Linked DNA regions of Drosophila melanogaster. The protein of the gene in region 1 interacts with the protein of each later gene in a pairwise test. Each region holds a gene or a part of one and is shown on either strand. Other genes may lie near its edges.

What was found.
Region 2: the proteins of CG13373 (region 1) and Ppt2 interact in a two-hybrid assay, tested with the Drosophila melanogaster proteins (one large-scale study listed by BioGRID).
Region 3: the proteins of CG13373 (region 1) and Pits interact in a two-hybrid assay, tested with the Drosophila melanogaster proteins (one large-scale study listed by BioGRID).
Region 4: the proteins of CG13373 (region 1) and CTCF interact in a two-hybrid assay, tested with the Drosophila melanogaster proteins (one large-scale study listed by BioGRID).

Annotation. Positions count from the first base shown.
Region 1 is NC_004354.4:474,013-480,517, forward strand, and holds CG13373 (uncharacterized protein), read left to right. Parts: upstream 1-2,971; 5' UTR 2,972-3,134; coding exon 3,135-3,279; exon of another isoform or gene 3,280-3,594; coding exon 3,595-3,919; exon of another isoform or gene 3,920-4,000; coding exon 4,001-4,064; 3' UTR 4,065-4,179; downstream 4,180-6,505. Other genes in the region: ebo (ellipsoid body open), read right to left, coding at 1-188, 298-494, 686-1,068, 1,146-1,301, 1,757-2,280, 2,382-2,384; CG32817 (uncharacterized protein), read left to right, coding at 5,632-5,933, 6,018-6,081.
Region 2 is NT_033779.5:11,275,321-11,282,420, forward strand, and holds Ppt2 (Palmitoyl-protein thioesterase 2), read left to right. Parts: upstream 1-4,977; 5' UTR 4,978-5,051; coding exon 5,052-5,195; exon of another isoform or gene 5,196-5,257; intron 5,258-5,296; coding exon 5,297-5,438; intron 5,439-5,500; coding exon 5,501-5,608; intron 5,609-5,812; coding exon 5,813-6,086; intron 6,087-6,151; coding exon 6,152-6,350; 3' UTR 6,351-6,600; downstream 6,601-7,100. Other genes in the region: cana (CENP-ana), read left to right, coding at 1-755, 817-1,017, 1,079-1,228, 1,285-1,536, 1,601-1,876, 1,935-2,015; CG33695 (uncharacterized protein), read left to right, coding at 2,793-2,810, 3,074-3,165, 3,255-3,353, 3,435-4,143; mre11 (meiotic recombination 11), read left to right, coding at 6,860-7,086. UniProt on the Drosophila melanogaster protein: Catalyzes the cleavage of thioester bonds from S-palmitoyl-CoA or S-palmitoyl-N-acetylcysteamine (unbranched structures) but does not have activity against palmitoylcysteine or palmitoylated proteins, branched structures or bulky head groups.
Region 3 is NC_004354.4:12,578,890-12,586,975, reverse strand, and holds the start of Pits (protein interacting with Ttk69 and Sin3A), read left to right. Parts: upstream 1-3,782; 5' UTR 3,783-4,425; coding exon 4,426-5,404; intron 5,405-8,086. Other genes in the region: LIMK1 (LIM domain kinase 1), read left to right, coding at 1-666, 727-1,037.
Region 4 is NT_037436.4:7,351,894-7,360,367, reverse strand, and holds CTCF (CTCF), read left to right. Parts: upstream 1-3,654; 5' UTR 3,655-3,787; exon of another isoform or gene 3,788-3,908; 5' UTR 3,909-3,910; coding exon 3,911-4,301; exon of another isoform or gene 4,302-4,362; coding exon 4,363-6,326; intron 6,327-6,388; coding exon 6,389-6,490; 3' UTR 6,491-6,790; downstream 6,791-8,474. Other genes in the region: pst (pastrel), read left to right, coding at 344-447, 518-900, 979-1,517, 1,588-1,677, 1,753-1,922, 1,993-2,830; qm (quemao), read right to left, coding at 7,975-8,133, 8,270-8,397, 8,471-8,474.

The DNA.
Region 1 (6,505 bases):
CGTGCCGCTTCGTAGCTTCGAGCGCTTCCGTGGTCCAATGCGTGCTCCAAGGACAGTAAATACATCTGTGGCCGTGACCAGTGGTTATAGACCTGTGCGAAAACGATGTGTGCACCTCTGGTGTTGGCCAGTAGGGCCAGGGACTCGAAGCATTGGTCTAGAAACTGCTGCCACTCAGTGGCGGAGGTCTGAAATTGGATGAATGTCTAGATAAAATGAAGATCGTTCTAATGCAAGGTCTATTTCTTGGTTTTTGAAATTTGTCACCTAAAAACACTTTAAATCAGAGCTACTTACATCGTCCTCCATGAGCTCGTTGTCCAGCACTTCTAGCTCGGGTTTGTTGGCCTCAAACTGAGTGCGCCTCATAATCTCATCTACTAGCTGGGTAAGCACATTGTTATAACGCGTGATTTTGGCGGGGTGCTGGGCAATGCCTTTGATGATGGGTGTCCAGATCTCAAGCTTTTCGGTGAAGTCCAAGGCGCCGTGTACTGTTTGGGGAATACAAAATTAATAACTTTTGTTATATATCTTTGTCAACGACATTTCGAAATCTCGATCACGAGATGCACATAACCCATTTAATATTGCGAGTGTTTTATGACTACACAGCAAAAAGATCATCTCAAAATAAAAAATAAGTTAGCATCTCAAAAGGCAATATTTTTATCACGCGACTCACATTCAGTGGTGCAGCTGTATAGCAGATTGAGAAAGGTCTCCAGCAGGTCTGGCTCCTGCATCAGCTTGGCGGCATACTTGGTGGTGTAGAGGCGCAGCAGCTCCCGAAACTTGTCGCTGTACATCTCGCTCTGCCGCCGATTGTTATTGTGCTGCTCCAGGAGGCTGGTAACGCCGCCCATCAAGGGTCCTGGGAAGGGCAGTGGCTTCTGGAGGTAGAGGAGCTCATTCAACACAGAGAGAGCCGCCAAGGAGATGGGCTCATGGGCTGGTCGCCACTGGGAAAGGTCAAGTATGCTCATAAGGAAGTACTCCGAGATCAGTTCAGTGCGTATCCAGGAGACCAAGTGCTGCACACATCCTAGCAGGTCCAAAATTGAGGAACTGCGGAGTATATAGAGAGATGTTATAACAAAATGTTGTAATGAACATATGCTCTTTTGAATGTTATGATGACCCACCTTAATTGATTGTCATTTGGCAGCGCTGAGGTTAGACTAAAGTCCATGAGGGTGTTTGGTATGGTTGTTTGGATGTCTTTGCCATTGATGTGGCATACAGCGATTAGCAGATACTTGGTTACCAGGTCCAGAACATCGGGTACACACATGGAGATGCTACAGAAACACACGGCAAAAGGGAGCACAAAATGGGTTAGGAACAGTGCTGTGGCAACTGACCAGTAATTATAGTGCTTTCTCTCAACAAAGCAATATAATATGATAACTGGGTTAACGGTTCAATTAGTTGAGTTTTAAGAGGTCAGCTGACTTTAGTTGTTATGCCATATACATACTCAATCTCAATATAACACTTATTAATAAACCAAAAACAAGAACGGACTGACAAGGTCTGGGATTGTGTTATTCTATGTTGTGCGACGCAATCGTGTATTTAAACAAATAACACCAAAGTTAATAATAAAAATACGCTATGCTCGAAAACATCGACCATCTGATACGCCGTACTCAGTTAAAAATCCAAGTAGTCTTAAACAGACATTAAAAGTATGGGACTACAAAACCTTTTTTAAAAAACATACGATTTTAGCCTCTTCGCTCTATTTACCCACCAGGAGTAGAAGTACTGCTTCCATTCGGTGGTCAGGTCGCCCCTGTTGCTTACCACCTCCTCGGAGGTGATCTTAAGCAGGTTGATGCCAAGTTGAAACCGTGTTTTTGTCAGTTCCATGCAGTGTTGCATGTAATTGGGGTCCTGTTCAGGGAACTCCCTCTTTCCGAGTAGGGCTATCAACTGGGCCAGTGTGTCCCTGTGCCGTTTGGCCACATTTGGAGTGGCTACCAGTTGGGCATACGAGTTCCAAAGGGTCTCCCGCAGCAAAGTCTTGTCCGTGGACGTCAACTGTGTCCATCTCCGCGTGATTGTGTGCTCCAAGGTTGAGGTGCTGAAGAACCAGAGGAACTGATTCTCCGTGGTGTCGGAAGAGGTGGCCACACGGAGGCAAAGTTGCCACGCCTCTGGCTGGGACTTGAAGGCCAAGAGGTTTGTCTCGATCTCTCGTTTCCGGGCATTGGAGGTGCTGGGCTGATAAAACTCCTGCAGCAGTCCCTCCACCGTCGTCAAAGATGCGGCGTGCTGCACAGACAGTGGGTGGGTGGAAACCAATTCCCGGTTAGGTGGAATCACTCTGAATCACTGGCAAAATAGTGCGTTTGGCCCGGAGCCCCCCGCCTCACCATTTTCCGTGTCCTTTACGATCCTTCCGAGTATCTGTGATCTGGATGTTACGGTCACTGTGAGCTCCGCTTGCTCGCGGTTCTAATTCCGATCGCATCAGCAGTCGGCGTCCATTAATTGCATGGTTTTCTTTGTGTCTTTACACAAAAGGTGGCCAAAATCTACTCCGGGAAAGTGAACAAATTCCGCACGGCTGGCAACCCTGGCCGATAGTCAATAAATATCGATAGTTGTTGGTTATGGGTATTTTGAAATAAAAAAATTCTACCTTTCTTATTTTAATTACCTAAAACAAAATTTTTTTTAAATAAAATTGGCTATATAAATGTTTCAGCTAAAACTACGAGCGAGCAGACAAGCATCCAATTCAAATCCATAGTTATACAAATATATATATATATATATATATATATATATTATACAAATGTAATAAATTTTATATTTTCAGTCATTTTAATCTGATAAATTAAAAATGCTGGACTATTCCAAACAGCTCATAACCAGAAACATTTTGAATTTTCCGCCTAACCGCAAATTCGATCGATAGACGATAAAAAAATTGATCGCAGTCGGCGCTTTTGTATGTATTTTTTAATATGGTAGCACTATTCTAATAAGGCAATATTGTTAGCAAAACGGGACACTGATTAACTGTTAGCCTGCAAGTTAGGAAACCTGAAAGTAAAGGATTTTCAATTGATATTTCAAGACGTTCCTATCCGATCTGCCCAACAATCTGCCAGTATCTCATCATGGAAAACCAGGTCCGTAAAAAGGCGGCAAAACGATCGCGATCAGCGGATGGCGACGCCAACAACAATCTCACGCAGCGGAAGGTATTTGTGAACCAGAAAATGTGCGACTCCCGTGATCCTCGGAAGATGAAGGAGGTCCATGGTATGTAAATTGCCTTATTCGCACCAACTTATCTTGTTTCGATCCTGTAATGGAGGGGTGGGAGATTGGAGAGATAGCGCCGCTCAGAGCGCAGTTATCCCGGACTTGTTGCTCACTTCAGTTTGAACAGTTAGACGCGAGAACAAAAAATTGAGCAAAGCAGCGACCTCTAATTTACGATGAATTTACGCATAAATTTTTTTTTTTAATTTTTTTCTTGCTGTTCTTTTGCACGTCCCATCGAAGCTGAGTGTCTAACCCTCCTTTAAGTGTCTAACTCAACTGGAACTCTCCGATTTTCTATTTCTTTCGCAGAGAAGACAATCAAAATGCTTTTCGATGGCGCAGCCGGCAATAGGCAGGGTCAGGGCCAGAATGCCCTGAAGCCATTGGTACAAGGCCAGGAGGAGCCCGCCCTATGCGAGCAGTACTATCTGCTTGGCGATGGTTCCATCGTTCTGCGCAACCTTCGCACCGACTTGTCCAATCCGCGCCTGGAGAGAGTGAAATCGCGCTGCTGCCAGCGCCAAACGCTCATCCACGACATATGCGTCAACTGCGTGATGGATCTCTGCGAGGAGTGTGGCTACTCCTGCGGCGAGTGCTCCAGGTTCATTTGCCGCAGCTGCGTGACTTTATTGTGAGTTAAGTCCTTAAAAGAAGCATCCCCCTTGGGAACACCTTTTATTTGAAAATCAATCGACCATCATCTTATTTCCAGTGGTAATCGAGTTGAAGAAGAGAAGGATCCCCTGTGCGAGCACTGCCAGATGTTCTTCAGCTAAGGCTTTACACAATCCAGCACTTATAAAGTCGCGGTGCTTGTTAAATTTTAAGTTCTGAAGCAGTACAAATTTGGGACGACACAATGTCAAATGTATTACCAACCAGCTCCGTTTCACTTATGTCCTGTAACTGCTTTCTTTCCGGCCGATAGCCTGGATGAGATCCTGGCACAGGAGACTGGGCTGGGCTGCTCGGTCTGACATCAGGTTACTGTGTTCTTTTAACAGCACAATCAGGTTGTCTGTGAGTGCATTATACAGATCCACAAATAGCTGCCAACTGCCGCCGTGGCTGATCAAGTACTTGATGTCTACATCCAACATGCTGCCAAGAAGGCAATCCAGGGACTCTCCTGTGAGAGGGACCGTACGATTCCCGGCCAGATTGCGCTGGGCCTCTAGGAGTCATAGGGCATGACCAGAATATGCCAAGTCTTTGGGTTCCGGTTGAAATGGTCATTAAGGATCTAAAGAGAACATTATTAACTAGGGAAGGAGAATAAGGTACTGGGGAAGACTCACCGCTCCCTTCACGCTGCTCAACGAGCATTTGGCAAAGAGCCAAAAGAGTTAGCACATTCTGGAGCGCCGTGTGCTGCGTTTGCGACGCAGGGCGTGCCATTTGCTCCTCTTGTGAGGAAAGACGGCGCAGGAGCAGTAGGAAATCCTCGTTAGTCTTAAAGACAATGATCAGATATGTCGGAAGCATTCATCTATCCCTAGTTCGTCTAGGCATGGAGTTTTTAAGGTCAGATGCAGCCCCACAAAAGGACGAACAGTTTGCGAATTGTACTCTTCTTACAGCTTTTCAGGCCCCTGAGAGCGTCGAATCTTAGTCCGATCCTTATTATCCTTGCGAAATTCAACGCGCCAAGCATTCGAATAGAAGCTTGGTGCTGGACCGCAGGGCATCCTGGAGTAGCTCAGAGCTGAGACCATGGGCAGACAATCTTGAACAGAAATGGCCGACCCCCGCAGACCACGAAAGATGAAGAGGGTCCTTGGTATGGAAAGCATTGTCCCACTTGCACCAACTCACCTACTCTCCTTCCTGTAATGGAGCGGGTGGGAGATCGGAGAGACAGCGCCGCTCAGAGTGCAGTTATGTCGGGCTTGTTGTTGCTCAATGCAAAGATGAGTTCAGTTTAAACCGTTAAACACGAGAACAAAAAATGGAGCAAAGCAGCGACCACAAATTTACGAGGATAACCCCACGAAGAGATTGGCAATAAACTGCTACAGTGTTCAGAAATTCGCAATTGCAAGTAAGAATCGATTGGAAACTAATCGATTTTGTGATTTACTGATTTTGGCATTTTGAATAGGGTCAAGTCAGCTTGTTTCCCGCGATCGGTCTCACTATTTTACTGTCATTGCAATTTGGAAATTTTAAGGGTTCTGATTGCACTTCTCGCTGACCTCAAACAAATCAAGTAAATATTCTTTTTTTTTTGCTGTTATATGTCACGTTCCATCGAAGCTGATGGAAGAGCGGCGTCCTTGAGGTGTCTAACCCTGAACTGGAAATCTCCGTTTTGCTATTTATTTTGCAGAGAAGACAATCAAAATGCTTTTCGATGGCGCAACCGGCAATGGGCACGGTCAGGGCCAGAATACCCTGAATCCATTGGGGCCAGGCCAGGAGGAGCCCGCCCTATGCGAGCAGTACTATCTGCTGGGCGATGGTTCCATCATTCTGCGCAACCATTCCATCGACTTGTCGAATCCGCCCCTGAAATCGCGCTGCTGCCAGCTCCCAACACTCATCCACGACATATGCGTCAACTGCGTGATGGATCTCTGCGAGGAGTGTGGCTACTCCTGCGGCGAGTGCGCCAAGTTTATTTGCCGCAACTGCGTGACTTTATTGTGAGTTAAGTCCCAGAAGGAAGAAGCATCCCCCTAGGGAAACCCGTTAGTTTAAAAATCAATCGACCATCATCTTATTTCCAGTGGTAATCGAATTGAAGAAGAGGAGGCTCCGCTGTGCGAGCACTGCCAGATGTTCCTCAGCTAGGGCATCAAACAATCAAGCAAATGTCAAATGTATTACGTTTTAAAGAATATAGAGCTATATAGTATTTAACATTAAGCAAAAATCTTTGATCTATTCTTTGGAATGCTAGAAAACTTAAATCATGACCTTGAGTTGGCCAATGGCGTTTCCTTAACGTAAAACACACCTTTTCGAACAGCGTCGTGGGCCTTTCGGTTGCTACCATTTGGCGAATGGTGAAGATAAGCAGGAAGGGTGCGACTTTTCACGGCCAGTGCCTGCGTGGCGCGCACTGTGGCCATTACAGTGGCCAGTTTCAGACCCAAGTCCGCCAAACCATCCACCTCCGTTTCACTTATGTCCTGTGTCAGCTTTCTTTCCGCGCGATAGCTAATGATGGCCTGGATTAGATCCTGCCACAGGACACTGAGCTAGGCTGATCGGG
Region 2 (7,100 bases), on another chromosome or scaffold:
CGAATACCATAAAAAAACTTGAGGAAATCGAAGCGGAAATGATTACACTAACCACTCAAAAGGAGTTGGAGAGGTGTGAAATTGCAGAAAAGCTGGAGACTTTCAAGTCCAAGGAGGCAGATATCAAAGAAGCTCTGCACTGTGCCCAGCTCAGGCTTCATGCCTACGATAAGCTGGTGTGCGAGTACGAGCGGCTAAAAGGCTGTCTTTCGGATTCAAATAAGTTGTCGGAAAATCTGCAGAAGAAAGTGGAGCGTTTGCATGCTGAACAGCTTGCTTTACAAGAAGGAATTTCCGGCCGAGATTCAGAGATTAAACAGCTTCGCTCTGAGCTCAAGGACGCCATTGATGAAAATAAAACAGTGAGAGAAGCAAAAGTAGGCCTGGAAAATAGTCTTAAAGCAGTACAGGAAAATATGTCTGCCCAGGAAGGTCAGTTTAAACAAAAGATTGCTGATATTAAGGGTTCAGTAGACGAGCTTCAGATTAAACTAAAATCTCTGCAAGAAGTAAGAGACCATCTAGAGTCTAGAAATGAAGAGCTTAAAAGAAAGCTAAAAGATGCTCAGGAACTACAGAACATGGTGGATAAGGAGCGAAAGCTCAATTCCTCTCTACGAGAAGATTTTGACAAACTGGAACAAACCAAACTCGATCTCGAAGAGCAGCTTCGAGCCAAGAAAGTAGAAATCGATCGCCGATCCAAGGAGCTTGGCGAAGTGACCAAGGATTGCGAAAATATACGATCCGATCTGGTAAGTTTTATTTATTTAACGCCTTCACTTTTGTATTCTATTATATTTTATTCTATACCAGGAAGCTCAAACTAATGATTTCCTAAAAGAAAGGGAAACTTTGAACTTGACTATATCCGATCTTCGGTTGCATAATGAGCAATTGCTAGAAACCTCGAAAAATTATCTATCAGACATAACAGCAGCAAATAATTTAAATCTCGAAATGAAGAAGAATCTTCACGATCTCACAAAAGAGTGCAAGAGCTTACGTTCCGATCTGGTAATAATTAATCTGGTAATCTATCTGGTTGATTACAATATAGGTAATTAAAATTTTTCAGCAATCCAAAGAAGAATATTTCCAAACGCAAAAGCAACTGTTGGATGAAACAATTTCTAATCTAAAGGAGGAAAACCGCAAGATGGAGGAAAAGTTGAGTTCGGGTAACAAGGCGCTCAAAGAGGATTGCGAAAAGCTCCGTTCAACATTGGTAATATTAGACTTGTCTTTGTAGGTTATTCGGTCGCTAATGAAATATTTATTTAGGAATCAAAGGAACTTATACTGCAACAGAATAAACAAGAGTTAGAGGAAAGGCTGACTGTTATTAATGAGAAGAATGGGAAAAACGCACTACTTGACGCCCAGTTGAAATCCAATGAAACCGCCTTTACATCACTGCGAAAGGCATGGATTAAGCAAAGTTTAGCCATAGAAGCGGCCAATAAAAGAAGCCTCGAGATGGAACAGAAGGTTGATAAACGTACGAGGGAGTACGAAGAACTACGATCAACTCTGGTAGAATAATTGCAATCAAAGGCTCTTATAAAATAGCTTAATGTTTTCTCTTTAAATCGCCTAGAAAACCAGGGAAATCAACTTTCGATCGGAGAAGGAACGCATGGACGGCACCATCTCTAGCCTGTTAGAAGACAAGCGTAATCTTGAGGAGAAGTTGTGCACAGTCACCGAGCTCCTGGCTAAGCTAAAGCGCGAACTGCCGGCTTTACACACGCAAAAAGTGAACGGAGGCGATGTGTCCATTGAGTTGAATTCCTCGAATGGATCGCCGACTCCTGCAGCTGTTCCAGCAACAAAGAAGCCCCTGGACTGCAATTCCGCTGAATGTGTGCCAAAGGTACGTATGATCTTCTAAATTTCAAGCATGTAATATTTTTTTTATTTCTCTCGTAAAGAAATCCAGCAGCCTAGAGACTGCGGAGCGGAAGAATCGACGGATGACGGCCTACGATGAGAACCGTAAGCAGTTTTGCTGAAACGACTTACGTGACGGCGGAACTACGACCGTTCCTTTAGGTAAGTTAAGGTTTGCTTGGCCGCGAAATCGTCTAAACTTTATGTGGTTTTAACTAATATTGCAGGTGGCAATTGCCACTGCGAGCAGCGGAGCTGCAAACAAAGACTGAGTTCGGACTGGAGGCAAAACGTTGAGTTCAACGATGATAAAAAAGATGATTAATGTTATCCAAGTATTAGGGATTTCTTTTGTTAGGTGTTATCTTGCAAACGGTGGAATTCCACATCATAAAGTTTTCTATTTATATTTACGCCCTAAGTATTTGTCAAATACTATCAATACAAAAATTACAAAAACAATCGTGATCGTAGTATTTAAATTTAAATCTGTATTATGCTGGTTTTTGTTTAATAGTTAAATTCGATAAATAGTTAAATATTGTTAATTAAGAAATGTTTCCTTCATCATGTGTAATAATATTTGGTTCATATGTATAGCATTGAATAAACTATTTACATTTTCTTAATGTTAAAATCAGATTCGCATAAGTTGCTGGTTCTAATAATAAAAGACATAAATTACTTAAATGTAAATCTAAATAAGCATAACGCTTCTTGTTTGAATTCCCGATTGCACCAATCGATAAGTCGATAGTAGCGCAAATACATATTCTAGTGTTGTGCATTGGAAAATTGACGGCCGCTTGAGTGTTGTGTACGGCGTCAGTGTTGAATAGCTGCGGACGCAAAACTACGTAAAATTACGACAAAAAAACAGCGCCCCGCGAAAAAAGGCCATGAACTCGGCAATCAAGGTAGGTTCAGCCGCTCCACCACATCCGCCGGCAGCTCCGACCGCGTTGATCCCGTCGCCAGCGCCTCCGCGCGTTGCAAGCGAGAAAAAGGCGGCGCGGGAGAGAGTCGAGAGTCATTCGTTTGTCTCACTCCTGCGAGTGGGAAATTTGTTGTTCCACCGTGAGTGGGCCGGCGGGCGGTGGGCAGGGGCGGTGCGTTTGTTTTGAATTTGCACGCGGTAACAACAAACTGACTCCGGATGCAAATCCGCATGCACTTGCAGGTGGGGGAGATATTCACGGCCGCCGGACAGGCGTTCAGCAGACTGGGCGATCTAACCATGCAGCTGCATCCCAATGCGGAGTCGCCATCGGGGTAAGTTGATTCTATGCGGTGGAGTCGCGAGTTTTGTGGACACTAATCGGAGTGTTTCTGTGTGCCTTGTTCCCTCGCCACGGCTGCAGGAAGTGGACGGACGAGGAGATCGACATGCTGCACTCGTCCATAATGCGCTTCTCCGACGACCTGACCAAGATCAGCCTAAGCATCAAGAACCGCACCGTGTAAGTGATCCTGTGCTCCTGGCGAGGGAACCGGCTGCCCAGTGTGTACGTGCTAGTTTTAATTGACCTTCCCCATTGCAGTTCTCAGATCCGCCAGGCGCTGAAGAAGAAGGCCTTCGAGGACGCCGGCATTCCCGCCAAGCAAGTGCCCGTCCAGCAGGTGCAACACGTTCTCCAGACGCTGCCACAACAGCAGCCGCAGCAGCCCCTTCAGCAGCCACCTCCTCAAGTATTCAAGTCACAGCCAATCGTGCAGCACGTACAGCTGGTGGCGCAGCCAAAGCAGATCATCCTGCATCCACAGTCTAATACAACTACGACGGGCACGACGGTGACTGTTAAGCAGTACCAGCAGATGCAGAAGGCTGCGGCATTAGCGGCAGCCCAGGCTGCAGCCTCGACGGCCAACAACACGCCCACCATCACGGAGAACATCATTATCCAGCAGCCCACTTCGACTACGGCGACAGTGGTGCAGCAGCCACATATGGTGTCCACCTGCTCGTCGACGCAGATCGTGGTGCCCGTTGTGTCGGCAGTGTCCACTGTTCCAACAGTACTCTCGCCCACGGTGGTGATTGCCGACGATGTGGTTAGCACCTCCAATCCTCCAGCGGCAGCGGCGACAGTAGGATCGCCAGCAGGGGCGCCAGCAGGCTTAAAGTGCGGACCAGACGTGTCCATGACCCTCAATCGCATCAATGTCCAGGAGAACGAGGTGGACGTGGAGGAGTGCCTGCCCGCAGAGGTGGTCAAGCTGGATTTTGTCAGCGAGGAGGTGGCCGGGTGAGGTTCGAGCCCTCGGAACGGGCTGGACTTCTTCTACTAGATCTCCGGCCGCAGAACGAATCACGTAACTTGGAACAGAACCGCTACAAATCCAGATCGAGAACTCTTAAGCAAAAAGGTTGAGATGCCGCCCTAGCCCTAAGTCTAAACTGTTAAGTGTTGTCATATTTGATATACCCTGAAATCACCTTGTTCCGGGCCCCGGATGACAAATGAATTGTGCGATGTGGAGGACGAGTCTGTGGATCGCCAGCCACAGAGCGTAGATATTAATTGCGGAGCGTATATGCGCCGCCTAGACTTAAATTTACGCAAGACACAATAGTGCAAAGTACATAACGACGATCGTGTAAGTTGAGAGTGAATAAACGAGCATTATTTTAAGATTCGGCGATCTCTGGGATTTTATTGGAGTTAGGAAAGCCCAAGGAGCGTAGAAATTTAGTTATTTGCAATGGCTTCTACAATCTCATTGCTGTAATTTGTACTTCATACTTTTATTTTGATCAGACTGTATTATAAAAGCATATATATAATTATATTTTTAAAGCACCCAATGCAAACTCAATTGTGTTTCTAATGGTCCGCTAAATTATATTGCATTTTATCTTTATTTGAATGTACCCATCCAATTTATGGGACCTATTTTATAAACCTTTCCTTTTAAATGCACACCACGTATTTTAAATTCATCCAATTATTGTACAATGAAGTCTCGAGAAATTTCGAATGCATTTTCAAATTTCGTTCTGCTCATAATTGCGCTCGCAACCCATACATTGCCATTCGCATGTCGGATTTCAAATCCGCACTTTCAGAATTTCCAAAGCGGGTAGCAAGAAGAAGAGCGGCTAATAAAGATACGGATACATCAACAACAACAGTCGGAAATCCATTGTTCCCCACAAAATGAGACTTCGTTTGCAAGTCCTGGTGGCCCTGTTAACCTGCTCGTCCATTTCCGTCTCACTGGCCTACAAACCGGTGGTCATACTCCATGGAATTCTATCAGGAGCCGAATCGATGGCCTCTCTGGTCCGGGAAATCGAAGAGGTTTGTTTTTCGATTCCCCTTTGTTATTGTTTACAGTGGCAAGGTCGAATTTGACGCAAACAACGCAGTAGCACTGATAAACTCATTTCGTCCGTTTGTAGTTTCATCCTGGCACTATCGTCTACAACTGCGACAAGTTCAATGGATGGTACAGCTTGGAGAACGCCTGGCGACAGGTCGATCAGGTTAGGGATTATCTCAACGAGGTGGGCAAACTGCATCCAGAGGGCATCATTGTGCTGGGTAAGGCAGCCGATTTTCATTAGAGTATTTTCTTTTAGTTACCAATACTATGCCTTTTTCAGGATACTCACAAGGAGGCCTTTTGGCCCGGGCGGCCATCCAAAGTCTGCCCGAGCACAATGTGAAGACCTTTATATCTCTATCCTCGCCACAGGCGGGGCAATACGGCAGTAAGTGAGATCAAAGTTTAAACCAATGAGTAAATTCTATTTATATAGATGCATAACTGCGTCACATTTTTCCGGGCTAAACTCTTTTAAAGCTTACAAGAAACAAATATATTATGTAACTGTGTTCAAAAATTACGCAGTTGGGTTATAAAACAAAGGGGGATCACAATGGTTCAAGTTTTTATTTTTTGGTAATATTTTCAGCTAGCTTCTTGCATCTAATCTTTCCCGACTTGGCGGCCAAGACAGCCTTCGAATTGTTCTACTCGCGCGTGGGACAGCACACCTCGGTTGGTGGCTACTGGAACGATCCGCAGAGGCAGGATCTCTACCTGAAGTACAGCGAATTCCTGCCACTGATCAATAATGAGAAGAAGACCTCCAACTCCACATCTTTTAAGATGGGAATGGTGCGTCTAAATAAGTTGGTAATGATCGGCGGACCCAACGACGATGTGATTACTCCGTGGCAATCGAGGTATGGTTTACTTAGTCGGATATTATCAAAGGTGAAATAACCACAAATCGTATATATTTCCTCAGCCACTTTGGTTACTTTGACGAGAATATGGATGTGATTCCATTTATTAGGCGACCGATTTTCACCAGCGACTCCATTGGCATCAGGACGCTTCAGGAGGCCGGCAAGCTTATCATTGTGGTCAAACCCCATGTTCATCATCTTGCCTGGCACACGCGAAGGGATGTCATCCACGAAGTGATATTTCCATATCTGGACTGAATAAGAAACCAAAACTACTGAACTATACTGAGCGATCAAACGGCTGTGATCGGAAAGGCGGACAAAGGCTCACTCTCATCAATAAGCATTAATGTGAAGTTGCTGCCTGGGTAATTAGGCTACAAACATGATCTTTTATTGGTAACTAAGCTATATATTTTTAAAACAGCCTGCGTATTGCAGCAGAGATTTTTACAAAAACTCATAAACTACTTATAAATAGCCAAATAAAGTGAAACTAGAAATTTTTAAATTGCAATTTCAATGATATATATTTGGATATTAAAATGAATCGTTAAAGTTTATATTTCATGTCGTCAAATTTGTTTGTTGAATTTAAATACTTAAATCTCCCGCGCATTTTTAGTTACTGATAGATAACAATAAGCGATAACTTTACTTATCGCTTAATGAAGAATCGATATTTAATCGATACATCCGCGGTCTATGTGATGGCGAAATAGGGCGTAATATCTTATTTTGTGAATTTTTAAGTTGCCCAGTTAACCATGAATGGCACCACGACAGCAGAGCAGGATGCTGACAACGTGATTCGCATCCTGGTGGCTACCGACAACCACCTGGGCTATGGCGAAAAAGACGCGGTGCGCGGCGAGGACAGTTTCACGGCCTTCGAGGAGATCCTGGAACTGGCGGTGTCCGAGGATGTGGACATGATTCTGCTGGGAGGTGACCTCTTCCACGACGCCGTGCCCAGCCAGAATGCGTTGCACAAGTAGGATTTGCATG
Region 3 (8,086 bases), about 12 Mb from region 1:
ACTCCATGAAGAACTTTTTCAAAACCCCACCGGTGGCCCTTAAGATGTTTCAGCGCCTGGAGCACGAGGCTGCAGCCCTGAATGGTGGCAACAATTGCCCACCGCCACCACCACGTACGCAGCGCATCAATCAGACGCCCATTTTCGGTCGAAAGAATCCGCCAGTGGCAATCGTCGGGCAAAAACTACAGCATGCTGAGTCCCTAGAGGACCTGGCCTCCAGCGGAGTTGCCAAACAGCTGGCCACACCAGCACCCAAACGCAGCAAAGCCACAGCAACGACCAAAGGCGGCCAGAGCAGCAATCCGCCACTTTTCCTGCCGCCTAGCCTTAACATAAGTGTCGCATTAAATAGCAATGGAAATGTGACCACAACGACCAATACCAATAGTAGTTGTCCACCATCCGCATCAGACTGGCTGCCGAAGAAGCACAAGCTAACTTTGCCACTTCCGTCGGCCCAACAGCAGCGAACGAGCAGCAATCATCGCCTGCCAATGTGCAATAACAAAGGGAAGACACTGAAGCCACTGCCAAGTCGCACGGGCAGTCAAGGCATTCCCGCAAGCAATTGCGTCTCGCCGACGAGGAGCAGCAGGCCCGGATCACCCACCAAGCATCTGGCCCAGAGGCACACAGCCGCCACGGCGCAGCGACTGACAAATGGTAAGCGCATAACCAACAATTTTATACAAATCAAGACTTACACACACTTTGCACCTGCAGCGGCCGCCACTCACCAGCAGCAGCATCAGCAACAATCCTCGAAGACGACGCGCCTGAATATCCTGAGTCCGGAAAAGGTGCATCGCCTGGGCGCTCGACTCACCGATCAGAAGCAGAAAATGCGCGAGGAGGCCGCAGCGACGGCCTCGTCCGTCGGAGGAGCCGGTTGTGCGGCAGGAACAGCGGCTGGAAGCTTAAATGGTCATCGGACCATCGGATCCTCCGGCACACCGAATTCGGCGGTCGGTGAACGGAGGAGGCGAGCAGCTCCATCGCCGCCAGTTCGCACGCATTTCAATACGCGCTGCTAGCTAGACGAAGTAGCCATACTCTCTATTAACGATTGTCAAGTGTTGTGCGCAGTTTGTTGTGGTTCCACTCAGGAAGCTGTTGTAAGCAGCTTAATGTTCTACAAACAAACTGTCGTAATTAGCGTAAATCTTTGAAGGATATAACTGTTGTAACTTCTATAACCAACCATTCGCCATTTGTATCGTACGGAATTAAATTTCCACGACATGTAGAGGCACTTTTTTTTTTAAATACATAATGACTTTTAAAGTGTAATGTAACATTAAGAACCAGTGAACTGTGCCGCTGTTATAAACGCAACTGTTATACGCACATAACAAGATCAACATTCCGACGAAAGTGTTTATTTTTTTTTTGATTCCAACATTTGATTTTAAGTTTCAACTGAACGAAGGTTAAGTGCCTGATAGGAATGAAAAACCAATAAGTTGCAATATTTACACGGATTGTATAAACCAAGCGAATAATTATAGTATGTAAGATTACAGGGTAACAACTGTCTCGACTAACCTAAAAAAAAAAACTGAACTAGAAGCAAAGCTAAGCAAATACTTGTTTAACCCACTATTGTCTGACATAAAGTTATATTGCGAAAGAGATAGCGAAAGACGGATAAAGAGAGAAGGAAGAAACTTGTGCCATGATGTTGATGCGAAAAACGAACGAATCTGAAGAATCCTCGAGAGAGGGAGATCCCACCCGCAAAAAAAAGACAAAAGGAACGAAAAGAACTTTAACTAGAAAAATTGTGGTTTAAATATTTTTTGATAAACAGCGTATATAAATGTATTTGTATATCTATTCCATAATTATATAGATAAACGTATTCCATGTTAGTGCTTAAATCTAATTTATTATTTATCGATTCTCGACCCATTCACCCCGTCCCCTCATTCCAAGAACAATAATTAACAATGCTAAGAAACAAACTTTTTTGTATTGACGAGAATAAGTCTAACTCCTATAACTAAATATATAAGAATGTTTTTGCTCAAAGGCAATTTTAGTTGTAATTGATACGAACAGACATACAAACACACACACACGCTAACTGTTATACAAATGAAACGCACACGCTCAAGCCTAATACTGTTATACTGTGTACTTTATATAGCCATTATATACCTAAACCTATATACATATAGGATCGAAACGCTTGCAATTAACTGCTTACATAAGACATTTGAGTCGGGCCCTTGTTATACGGACGTATGCCAGTAGAACAGTGGCCGCGCCGAACCGATCTAGCATTTAACTATCTATATACAACAAATATGTGCGATATTTTTTATATGCAGCTAATTTAATGTGTTGTATTTTGACCCCACACCACCTTGTAACTACGTTTATACGCCTGCTTTTCGAAAATTGAGTAACGCTTATAGAATTTTCGATTCAATTCTTTATGCCTTTTAACAGTTGAACATATATAATCAGTATAGCAACATTTTCTACCCACTTGTAAATAAGTTTATAACTAATGCAGTTTTTGTTGCCTACTTATTCGGGAGTCGAAAGGTCTGTAATTACAAATAAAGCTTGTGTATAAACGTAGTTCGTAGATTCTCTTTTGATTTTAATCTTAAAACATTTTTTGTTAATAAAAGAGGAAATTAAAAAAAAACTTTTAAACTTTCTAGTGTCTTTATTGTGGAATTTTAATTTTGTGGCAATTTAAAGAATATTTTTATATCTTTAATTGAGCCAAACATTTCATAAATAAAATCTCAAATGAAATGTTAAGAAGCGAGTACAGTTGCGCGTGCACGGACATAAACTTATGGCCGGGACTGTATGGAAAGGTGGGGGTGTAAGGAAAGGACCCCGTTTACGAGGTCGTTGCTTGTTCGTGTGTTTCTGTATCTGGTGGCTCCTTTTTCCGCATTTCCTTTTAACAGGATGTACGCACAGATACGGAATTTGTCCCAGACCATGGTCGGGAAATCGATTCAGGCCAAACGCCAGGAATACGAACACCCAAGCATTTTCGCCTATACATATGTACATATATGCAACGATATGCATACACATACATGCTTGCAGTTTGTGGTCCTGCGCAGTGCTTTACGGATGTCCTTGTTTTTTTTTTTTTTTTTGCTAGGAATGAGGGCTTTTAATTTCATTAACAGTTACAGAGCTCTGTTAAGTCAGCTGTTCGCCGAGCGAAAGAGACGGAGCATACCAGATTCAAGGTCTACATAACTGTATCCTATGTACATACGTTCGGTATCTATACGAAAAACGGATGTGTATCCACGAACTTTACATGGTATACTTACAGGCGGACTTTGGGGGAAGGACTTCGTCACTAGATTCCGTTTCGTGAATATGACGTGCAGGCACGTACGCTGGCAGGGTCGTAGCCCCAAAGGGGGTTAAAAATAAAAATAAATATTATTTTTAATTACTTAAACAGCCAAAAGGGTTTATTTTTAATATTTGGGCGTAATATTAGGAGCAATATATTAAAAGCTATATATATTAATACGAAATAGTAGAATTACTATGCTCAAAATGATGCTAAATTTTAAAGAAAATTTAAAATTTCCTTAGCTTTATCATGGTTGAAGTCTTCGCTACAGTCTCAGCCACTTTGGCAACCCTGGTTGAAGTCCACTGAAAGGTTCGTGTCTCTGATATAAGCCAGTATTTCAGGTATTTTCTTGGTATTTCCCATTGCGGCAGCGAAGATTTTTTAGTACATTTCGCTTGGCCCCTGGGGTATATTCTCACATACCAGCCAAGGCCACACTCTATCAGCAAGCTGTGTGGCGTCCGGTCGCTTTTTCAGTCATTCGTTGCGTCGCTGCGATCTCATCGTTCGTTTTGTTCCTACACGTTTTTGGCGTCGTCGTACATTTACGTGTCCCGCTTACTCGCGCGCACCCTCTCTCTTTCACTCTGCGGCGCGCGTGCCTAAGTGTGGTGTGTGGTGTGTGTGCCTGTGTGCGTGCGTGTTGGCGAGCAGCGCGGCGCAGCACAATAGAAAAGAAGAAGAAGAAGAAGCTGAAGCTGAAGGAAAAAACATAAGTGAATTTTTTTCGGGTGGAAGCGCGGTGAAATATGCGTGCGTGCGCGCGTGTATATGTGCGTGTGTGCGAAAATCAATACGAAAACATGAATAACAAATGCTAAATAAGAAAAATAGCTACAACGCACAACCGAAAAGAAGCTGAAACAAGAAAAAAGAAAGCGAAAAAAAAGGAGAAAATAATAAATAATAGGAATTGGGAATCCAGCAGGAAGGAACAGTTAGCCATTCCAGTGAGCTAAAACAGCACAAACCCATTTCCAGATCCAGCCCATCCAGGGCTTCCAATTGACAGTTGCCAATTGACAGTTGACAGTTGCTAGTTGCCAGTTGACAGTTTCCAGAAACGCAGCAGGATGTCGCTGCAAACGAAAAGGCAGCACTGCTATCTGTGCGATTTACCCCGCATGCCCTGGGCGATGATCAATGACTTCTCGGAGGCGGTGTGCCGCGGTTGCGTCAACTATGAGGGCGCCGATCGCATCGAGGCGGTGCTGGACGCCGCCCGCCAAATGAAGCGTCTCCATCCCGCCAGCAAACAGCAGCGTTCCCATGAGAACGGCGAAGTGTCCGCCGCTGCAGCGGCCGCCGTCGTCCTACAGCAGCAACAACAGTTACAAGTCGGTCCAGTTCCGGGACAAGGACCGGGTTCCCATCGCGGCGGAGGTGGCGGCGGTCCACCGGGTGCTCCGCCCGGAAGTGGTGGTCCAGGTCCGTCGGGCGCCGGTTCGCTCAGTTCGCTGGGCAATGCCGTTGCTGCTGCCGCCGCCGCTGCTGCAGTGCATCATCACCATCAGATGCCCTATCAAATGCCAGTGCCACGCATCGGTCCGCCACTGGACTATCCCGTTAAGCTGGAGGATGCCCCCGGTGGCGGCGTACGACCCGTACGCATTTCACACATGACGCCCCACCACCTGCCGCCAAATGCGACCCGCGGCGGTGGCGGTGCACCCGGCGGCGGCGTACCCACCGCCGGCAGTGGCGGTGGCAGCCTACCGCCCGCCCTATCCGTGAATTTAAAGCGTCCGCCCAGCGAGGATGTCGATGTGGATGTAAGCCAGCAGCAACAGCAGTCGGGACACGGCCTGGCGCCAGATGGCAGTGCTGGCAACTCCCTATCCGCCGGCGGAGGCGTATCCGGCGGTTGTCCGCCCGGCATCAAGCGCAGCGCCATGGACGATCCAAGTGGCGTGGGCGGCAGACCGCCATTGACGCGTGGCGAATCCCTGCCAGCGGCGGTCAGCTATGTGCCCGAGCGTCAGCTTAGCGGACTCCGTGATAAGCAGCAGCCGGTCAGAGCGCCCAGTTTCGATGCATCGACCTTCAAAGCAGGTGAGCAAACATGACATAGATCATTCAAAATACTTGGCACAGTGGTTACCCAATAGAAAGAACTTTGCTGCAGCAAGTAATGGGAAAATTTTTCATTTGCAGTAGGGATTCGGGAAAAGCAGGAGTAGTTTCAACTACCTTGAAAACTACCTTTCATAATAATTAGAGTAAAGTGATCAGAGTCTCAAAAGTGCCGCGTTGATAAATATTTGGCTTTATAAATGATAGTACAAAACACTATCTATCGTGGTGGAAAACAGATTTGGGATAATCCCCTATCAGTGATGGATTTCTTATCACTTATAGCGATCGGATCGAATCGCCAGTGGGAAATACGCGATATGGATTAAAAAATGGAGTGACCAGGGGGATGTTGTTTCCCAGCCACAGTGAACACTTGATATCTTCTAAAGTATATTTTATCAAAATATTTCAAATACAAAACTCTTCGAGGGGTGATATTTCAGTTTGCTTTGATAGCCAATGTCAAACAAAAATAAAAACTTGTTTAAACAAACAAGTGAGTTAGAGGAAATTTTTTTTTGCTAATTTCAATCTAAGATTTGCTGGATAAAATTAAACACTATTTTATCCTCCGGAAACATAGGAAATTTGCTTAAATCCTAAGTTTGAAAAAGTTGGCGGCCACTGTATTTGTTTACCGTTTCTTACCAATCCCCCGCCTTTTTTTTTTTAATATGAGCCGTGATCGCGGGATACAGAGCACTGTTTCTGCCTCGCTCTAGCCTGGATGTGGGTGGAAGGTCGTGGTGGGGGAGTGGGAGGAAGAGAGGCGGCGATATAGTGGCACACATACCGCTTATTCAGGGCAGAGTGAAACGGCGTGATTGCCTGCTCCTTATCTCTCCTTACTGGAAGGCGAGCTAGAAGAAGACTGCGCTTCTCATGTATATGCACGTACACATTTACGTTTGCATGGATGATAAGGAGCGTTGTGTTGGAGATTAGATAACTCATTTGCTTATCAGCGCGTCCTTATCGCCACCCAATGCGTATGTATAACTCACACATACACGCATACGTGCACATGCATGCATGTACATTCAAACAGAAAAAGAAGCGTATAAACGCATTTTGCAACCCTCTGTGGAAAAAAGGGGCTGCTAACCCTTGCCATTAAAAGGCATGCGCACATGCCAATATACATATAGGGAATATACATGTGCATGTACCGCGCAGACACACACGCGCACACAACTACGTGTTCGTTTACATGCACGTACGTAACAGTCGCAATGGCAATAACAAAAAACGGCGAGAAAAAAAAGCGCAAAAAGCACACGAAAAAAGGGCCGCAGAATGTAATATAAACAGAGACGTGCAAAAATCGTCGACGCTGACGTTGTAATGTTCTCGCTCTCTATCTCTTTCTCCCTCCGTCTTCTGTCGCTTTTCTCTTCTTTCCAAACTGGTTTCGTGCGCTGGTGTTGGTGTGTGTACCTTTTGTTTTTTGTGTTTTTTCTTTCTTGTCTGCGCGCGCAAAACGTCATTAAACTTGTTTTGGTTTTCGCTGCTGCTTCTTCTGCTGTTTCTCCGTTTTACGCTATGCGATAACAAGTTGCACACACACACACATACGCACACAGTCGAACCTGGGTGTAGATAAATTTTAGTTGGTATACGAATTACGGAACGAGCTGCAGTGACAACAACAAAAAGAGACACTAAAGACAAGATGAAAAAAAAACTTTTTCGCTCATACCGATGCCGTCATCAAACAGTGGGGCAAACAAAGCTTAACTTAATAAGAAAAAGAACTATTATCTTAAGATTCCATTATTTCTATCCCTTGGCTTGTTTTTGAATCATATAACGTGGTTAACATAATTTGACTTTGCTCAAATCTTTAAAAACAAATGCCAATAGGAATAATTGCTTTCTTCCAGACAAAAGGCAATAAGAACTTGACAGAAAATAATTCCAATCATATTTCTGGAATTTCCCACCTAACGCCCACTGTGCCAATTTCGTTTGTTGTTTTGTATTTACGTTACGCTTCTGCTTCTTCCTTCCTGTGTGTATTCGTTTCATTACCAAAAAAACAGGAAAAAAACCAACTCGGGTACATATTTATTGCGTCTGTGTATATACTAAAAATATAACAAACATTTTCTGGGTGTACAGAGGAAAAATTGTACAAATTGTATGTTGCTATATGTATGTATATTTTAGTATGTACAAACTGATAAAATGGAACGGCAACGTGCGCGCGCCACCCCCACTCCACACCGCCGCTCATTTGCCCACCTACCACCCTCCCCCTCTTCCTTGTTTCGTTTCATTCAGCGCTTCGTGTTGCCGGCTAAGTGTGTGTGTGTATCTAGTTCGTGTGTATGCATTTACTGACTGACCATTCCAATGCGTTCGCCAGGAATTCTGTTCGTGCCTTCGGTTTGATGGTGTGAAGAGGGGTAGGGTGGTGGGTGTTTGGGCGGAGTGCATCTCCCTCTCCCACTCCCACTCTCTCGTAATTTAGACATTGCGTGCTCCGTGCAGCTGCAGTGGCGGCAAGTGCGAGCGAGATGGCTAGCTGGAGTGCATGGCCGCTGTTAACCGTTAAAACACGTGAAGTAGCAAAGTCGCCGCCGCTGATTAGATACAGCAGCGCCCATCAGAATATAATCATTGAAAAATTTCAACTTCAATTGTGGTTCCTTCACT
Region 4 (8,474 bases), on another chromosome or scaffold:
GCCTATATATATATATATATATATTTTTTTTTTTTATAATATAATATGTGCTCGCTAGAAATACAAAGCAAATATCTGATTAGCATGAGCTCATCGTCTCGTTACATTTTGGGTTTAGCACGCTAGCAGCTTTTTAAATTTTGCTCACCAAAGAAGGTGACGGTGGAATACGGGGTATTCATATAAAGGTATGATCCCTAGAGAGCTTTTCTGCCGTCTTGCCTTTTCGGTATTTCGAGTACGATCGTTCAATTAGTGTGCGCCTTAACTTAAAAGCTGGTGATTCCGTGGCACAACTCCATTAGCAGCACAACTGTGGCAACGGAAAGGTGACAACTTAGGGATGGCGAATAGATTAGGAAACCATGAAGTTACCCGCACCGCACGTGAAGTGCAGCAAAACTTTGCCGAGTCGCTCGGCTACGCGGAAGAGATAATCTGGGATCTGTAAGTACTGCTACTGCGCATTAGAATTTTGAATTCAAAGTATTTGGGGTAATGACGTAACCCCTTACAGGTTGTCCCATGAACAACATGACGTGCTAAGGGGCAAACTCTGTCAATTGATTCGTGATTCTCCGGAACCGAAAACTGCAACGGAAACTGAAAAAGACAGAAAAATCCGGCTGAAGGTCAACGCAGATAATGAGCGCGCCCGTCAGATCATTTTCGATTCCGTTTGGCAGCAACGTGAGTTGGACTTACAGATTGTATATAGTATAGTACATTTTTTCGCTGCCTTAACTGCGTACAATTGTTTTCCAGGAAAGTATACCAACCGTCAATCGCTGACGGCGATCATTTACGTAATGGTGGTAACTGACGAAACGGACGTCAATCGCGCCGAGGACGCCAGAGTCTTCAGCGTGCACCCAGTCTTTCGGGCCCGTCGATGCGTCGGTGAGTCATCCTTTGCATACGTATGCAATTTACAATATATTTCCTATCTATCTATCAATGGATCCATTTAATACTCAGTTGGCAGTAGTGGCACCAGCAGCGTCAGCTCGAATTGCTGCAATCTGTTTATCGACGAGCTTGGTCGGGTCTACCAAAACTGGGAGATGTATGTGACCACCAACGAGTTGCCTGCCGGAGTGATGGTGGCCCCAGAGAAGGGTATTTACCGCTTGGTCAGGGATCAAGTACGTCTGGATAAGTACACAACGCCGGCGGGCACGACCAACAGGAAGGTGCTGGGCTACCTGGATACTGGGTCGGCAGTCGGAGGATTTTTTGCTGCCTGTGTGCCCATTGCTGCCCTGCTAACGCTGCCCGTATCCGCTCCGCTGATGGGCGCAGCGGGAGTAGTAGGTTTGGCCAGTGCTGGATACGCCGCATCGCGGTCTGGCAGCAAGCTATTCGATCGCAGCCAACATGAGCAGTCTATCAATGTGACGGACCGCGAAGCGCGTGGTCACTGGTTGGGCGTGGCTGGTGGCACTGTGGGATTGGCAGCGGCTGGGGCCACCACAGTCTTGACAACGGCCACAAATGCTGGACGCGAGGTGGGAGCGGTGAGTCCTTAAACCCCCCCCCCCACGCAATCAACAATGGAATAAAAATGTTAAATATGTACTCACATAGATCACCCAACTGACTGTGAATAGCATGAACATATCCTCGATTGTGGTATCGGGCACTGGAGTTGCCAATGGTGTGCTGGATCTGATATTGGCAAGTCTCGAAACTTAGACTGTGATTAGATTAGGCTAGATAGATTAAACTTATGAAATTTATGATCTTCCACAGAAAGCAAAAGACGGTGACGAAATAGTTGCGATGGATGTTTTGCAATTGTCCGCTTCGTTGGTGCTGCTCACGCACAGCGTCTACAACTTTAAATTGGCTTCGACCATAATTAATGAGACAAGCAATGCTAATATTGCCGACTATCGTAAAAACCTTTCTAATAGGCAGCGGTAAAAAACGTTCAATGAGATACATTCTGTCGTAAACAAGAGTTTCTACTTGTATTTTTTTTACCATCAGGCGAACCTTTGACAAGGCTGCCAAGGAGACCGTTCGGATGCAAGGCAACACTCGCGGCAAACTGGACATTATACGCAACGTAAACGAAATTTCGCCACAAGAGTTTAATGATCTTTTTAAGATCAACAAAAACTTGAATCAGGAGGGCGTGCGATACTCATTCGCACCCGATGGCAAAGGATTTTTACTAAATGGCGATGTGCAGACGACGGGTGCGGAATTGCGAGCTAGTGTACAACATAACCAAGGAGGGAATGTCCTAGGCAAAGTTAGTCAGCCCATTCCCGGTAGCCATGCGGGTTCTGGTCGCCTTCAACTGGGCGGCGTTAATCAGGTTTCCCGTCTAATCGGACCGCTGCCCACATCCCATCCTCGACAGGAACCCAGTACCTATGCCGCCGGCGTGTTCGCCTTGGAGCTAAGCTCTGTGTTGGTGGGCGGTGTTGTTTTCGTACTGGAGAAATACGGAAAAATCATATTTGAGCACGTGATCAATGCTGAAAGTTTTGAGAGCCTAATCAACATCATGGCCAATAAGCTTGATCCAAAAGTCTTTGACCATATAATGCTATTGACCAGAGCCTTCATGGACACCATGCTGGAAGACCTCACCTCGGTGCTAAAGTTCTTTATATCAACGGAATCCGTTCTTTACCGCATTTTGTTGTACATTTTACGGAACTTCGAGGACGTGCAACTTTCGGTTATTGCGGATCACACTTGTGAGATCGTAGAAGCCGTAAGGGTGTACTTCATGTCCCTGAATCCAAATGCGTTCCCGGGTCTCCTTCAGAAGTGTCCGAAATGTATCGGCCACTTCAGCGTTTGTCCCTTGTAAGTGTTTAACGAAATGGTTCGTTTAACATTAGAATTCAAGGGCCATCAGCATGTCATAATTGATGCCCAATTGTTTAACCACAAAGAAACGTTAGCTAGTTCCGCAAATAATCAATGGGATAACTTACTTAATATGAGCACAAATTGACAAAGATGAAATTGTTTTAGCATTTAAATAAAGATTTTATTAACCCTGTTGAAATAATTGTAATAAAAGGAGAATTTTGAACCGGAATGGTTCTGATTTCCGGTTTTCGAACACAGAATATGTGAATCATTCATTGTGTAAAGGGGATTTTTTTTAATCTTTAAGAGTAATTCCTAAATTTACAATCTGATGTCATCTATACTATGGTATAATAGCAACAGCCATACCACCAAATCATTGAATGCCTTAGAATATAAGTCATAAATTCAAGTATCCCATAAGAACAACCCCAATTCTGGTGACAATAACAAATCCAGCCTGCCCTAATGTAACCATTAACATCTGCTGCCGAATCCGTTATTCCCACCAAAGGGTCAAAACCGCTAACGCAGCTCAAGTTCTCGGCTGATCAGTACCCATGAGCGATCCATCCACTCAAGAGGGCACCCAATCCAACAGACATAAACATCCGCAGGGGCTTTCGCGACATCAAAACCGCTTACGCAGCCCAAATCCTTGGCTTATCCAGTATCCAAAAGAATACAGATTATATTTTTTATCTAATAAATTACCGTGGATTCGTTATTATATATTTTCTGTTATCAAGAATTAAAGATAGTTTATATAGAGATGACAAGATACGAAACCAATCGAACTATCGATAGCTGGCGGTACTGATGCTACATGTCGCCATCTTTTATTAGAAATGGGCAGCTGTTTCATGTGGACGCAAATTAAATTGTAGATTTAACAACAATAACGACAACCGGCGTCCCTTTCAACATATTTTTTATTGGCAACCAAGTGTCGGTAGGTGAATTGAATCAAGCGGGATTACAATTGGTCGTTGCGAGAAATCGATAAGCGCCCTCTTCGGGATCCCGGTCATCCGCTGTGGGTCGCCACCAAAACAAATCCAATTTGTCCATAGGAATGCCAAGGAGGACAAAAAAGGACGAGGACCCCGAGGATCTGCAGACCTTCCTCAACAATTTCCATAAGGAGATCGAAGGCAACAGCGATGAGAAGGTGGTAAACACGATTTTGGAGGCCATCAGCGCCGAGGCCATCGACTTGGATGAAAATGGTGCGGAGGCTGGTGGATCGAAACCGATGGAGGAGGCGGAGGCTGATTTGGATCATGCGGAGGAAGCGGAGGAGGAGGAGGAGGACGACGAGGATAAGTATTTCATAGATGACGAGGGCAACTGCTATATCAAGACTACGCCCAAGAAGCAAAAGGAGCTACAAAAGAAGCTCAAACAGGCGGCTGCCAAGCCGGGGAAAGCTACACGTTCCGTGGTCAGTACAGCCACCAATAAATGTGAGTTACCCTTTGCCATATATGTGCGTGCATTTGTATCACTTGCTCGACTCTTTTTAAGCCATCAATTTGCGGCCAGCCAAATCGACACCGAAAGCGACTACTTCGAAGCCTCCCCCAGAACCCAAGGCAATTAGCGTTCGACCAGCCCGAGCAGCTGCAGCCAAGGCGAAGCAATCGGCGATGCCACCGCCACCGGCATTAGTGGTCAAAGTACCGGCACCCAGGGGCAGGCCTAGAAAGAACCCTGTCATACCGAAGCCTGAACCCATGGACTTGGAGCGGGAGCTCGAGGAGCTGGTAGATGAGCCCGACATCAGTTCAATGGTGACAGAATTGTCGGACTATACCGTAGACGAAGCTGCCGTAGAGGCAGCAACAGCTACGCTGACGCCAAACGAGGCTGAGGTCTACGAATTTGAGGACAATGCGACGACAGAGGATGAGAATGCCGACAAGAAGGACGTAGACTTTGTGCTAAGCAACAAGGAGGTGAAGCTGAAGACAGCTTCTTCTACCAGCCAGAATTCGAATGCATCGGGACATAAGTACTCATGCCCACACTGCCCGTATACGGCGAGCAAGAAGTTTCTGATCACGCGCCACTCACGAAGTCATGACGTCGAGCCATCCTTCAAGTGCTCCATCTGCGAGAGGTCCTTTCGATCGAACGTGGGCCTGCAAAACCACATAAACACGCACATGGGCAATAAGCCGCACAAGTGCAAGCTCTGCGAAAGCGCCTTCACCACCAGCGGCGAGCTGGTCCGTCACACTCGCTACAAGCACACTAAGGAAAAACCGCACAAGTGCACGGAGTGCACATACGCCAGCGTGGAACTGACCAAACTGCGCCGCCACATGACCTGCCATACGGGCGAGAGACCATATCAATGTCCGCACTGCACCTACGCATCGCAGGACATGTTCAAGCTGAAGCGACACATGGTTATCCACACCGGCGAGAAGAAGTACCAATGCGACATCTGCAAGTCGCGATTTACGCAATCTAACTCACTAAAGGCCCACAAGCTCATCCACAGCGTGGTCGACAAGCCCGTCTTTCAGTGCAACTACTGCCCGACGACTTGCGGTCGGAAGGCTGACCTGCGCGTTCACATTAAACACATGCACACCTCTGATGTGCCAATGACATGCCGGCGCTGTGGCCAGCAGCTGCCCGATCGCTATCAATACAAGCTGCACGTTAAGTCACACGAGGGCGAAAAGTGTTACAGCTGCAAGCTGTGCAGCTACGCTTCGGTCACCCAACGCCATTTGGCCTCACACATGCTCATCCACCTGGACGAAAAGCCGTTCCATTGCGATCAGTGCCCGCAGGCCTTCCGGCAGCGTCAATTGCTGCGCCGCCATATGAATCTCGTGCACAACGAAGAGTATCAGCCACCAGAACCGCGCGAGAAACTGCACAAGTGTCCGAGTTGTCCGCGGGAGTTTACCCACAAGGGTAATCTAATGAGACACATGGAGACTCACGATGATTCGGCGAATGCTCGCGAAAAGCGGCGTCGCCTTAAATTGGGCCGCAATGTGCGGCTGCAGAAAGATGGCACTGTCATCACGTTGATCAAGGATCAGTATGTGGATATGGACCGGGACCAGGAGGAAAACGAAGAGGATGACAACCCAGAGAGCTATGACTTGGCTGAAATCGAGCCGGAGAACTCGGAGGCTGAAGACGCCGATGATGATGTGGAAACCATAGTCAGTGATCCGATCCGTCAGAGAATCAAGCCAGCACCTATCATTATCAACAAACAGGCCAGGCTTGCCGCCTCCGAAAAGCAGCCGATGATCATCAATCAACGCCTCCGAAGTCAACGGGGCACCAAGACGTTCCACATCAAGGAGGAGCCGGACAACTCGGACTTCACCGTGGAATGGCAAGGGGATGATGGCGAGGTAATGGTCGTAGAGCTGGTTAATGGCGACGAGGAGGTGTTGGTCAAGCACGAACCGAGCGCCAACTCCAAGATCAGTGCCAAAAACTGCTTTGGTTTCGAGGTTAGTTGCAAAAACTTTAGCTGGCATTTGTTCCATTACTCAAAAATTTGGTTTTCATGCAGGACGACGATGATTATGAGGAGTATGGCGATGGGGAAAACGAGGTCGATGGCGCTTCCCAGGAGTTTCTGCAGCTGATGGATATGATTGAGCAGGACTCTTAGTCTCCTGAAAACAAAAGCTAATGGATAAGTAATTATGACTAACTTATGTACATACCAAGCATACAATAACGTATTTCTACGTTACATTGTTTTCTATTTAAATACACATTTAAAACAGTTAGGAAACCTATTTTTACTAGGTTAAGAAATGGATATTAAAAATGTATTCTTTCTAAATGAATGTATAATTCTGGATAAGCAGTTAACATGCCGATATGGCGACTATTTGTAAATGATCCCCGACACTTAAACTTTAGTTGACAACTTGGCATAAATATTTATTTAAATACATTTACATATATTTCAATGTTTTCATTAGTAGTATATAGTATATGGGCAAAATGTTAGGTGCGTTTGCGTTTAGCTGCATCTGGGCGTGCACTGTAAATTCTCGGCTATTAGTTGTCGTTTCTACCGTAAAATGTTCGCATAGTTTATAGTTTTCCATTTCCACTTCAGCAATCTGGTTAATTTTCTTGTTATTTTTCCGGTTTCTCTTGCCGTTTATTTCTTTTTGTTTCTTTCATGTGTATAACTACAATAAAAATATATATATTTTTATATATAATATATGTATATATTTTTTAGGTGGTGCAATGTGCAAAAACCTGCCGTGCAGTGCATCATTATCATTATTTCAATATATATAGTTGCGTTCATTTGTGTTGATTTTATAGTGTCTGCATAAAACATTAACAATTTGTCGTTAATAGTACATATGTATGTATGTATACGAATCGCATTTGTATAACAATTAAAATGGAACAACGTCGATAAAGGAAGTGCACATTGAGTTCCGAGTGAGTTAGATTTGATAAAATGACACTTAGAAATTGAAAATTGCTTGCAGAATTGAGTTACGAATACGAAACACACTTAGAAATACAAGAGCTAAAAAATTGCATATTCTATAATTCAGTAATGCTCTGCGAGATTTGCTTGATCCCCACCCCCCCCCCCCTCTCCCATTCGTTGGGCGAAACTAAAACTGGGGAAACTAAACGAGCTAACTAACTACGTAACTTTGAAGCAAAACTAAATTAAAAGTATAAAGTAAAATGTAAAAGTAAAAAAACAAATTCTTGGAAAGCTGTAATATGGCTCTTTGCTAGCTCAACGATAAGCTTGGCTTATATCAATTTACTTTTGGCTTAACAATTTTCTGTAAGGCTGCTGTTGGTTTTGTTATCCATCCCATTTCATCCGATTCACTATCAAATCCAAATCCTATCCTCCTCCTATTTCCGTTCTCATCGCTCTGGTTTCGGTTGACAGTAAGGTAGGGGTTCTCTGTGGGCTTTTCGGTTTGGCAAAGGGTAACATAAATCTCAGAATATCTTCAGCTTCTGCAGGAAACGCAACAGGGGCGCACTGAGGCACGCAGGCGTCGGCTGGCTGCTGGCCTGCTGCTGTCCCGGATTGGCGGCAAAAGAGGCTCTGCCGTTCGCAATTCACGACTGCTCCCTCTTTTGCCTCTTTGGCTGCTAATTGCAATTGAGCGTGTTCTGGTTGGGGCTGCTGCGTGAGACGTTGTTGTGATTGATCTGGTTCGACTGCGTGATGCTGGCGCTATCGCTCGTCTTCCACGACAGCAGCTTGTTGAGCAGGCGGTCCATGTACGGATTGCTACCCAAACGAGCCACCTGTGTGGGTTGAGAGATTACTTTAGTTTAGCACAAAACACGTAGCAACGATGGGATGTGTGCGAATTTCTACTTTTAACATCATCAAGACTTCCAAGCAACTTCCACTTCCCATTGCTTGTCTTCAAGTACTAACCTCCGACCGAGCCTCTGCGTCGAGCGACTCCAGAACCTTGCGTGTATACTGAAAGCTGCCCAGCTTTTCCAACAAGGTGATGCAGTACTTCTTGACCTCAATGTCGTGCGTGCGCTGGCGTAATATGTCTGTGGATATAACCATAAGCCATCAGCTTAATGAGTGAAAAGCCTTTGGTTGAGGTCAAGACGTTGGACTTACGTAG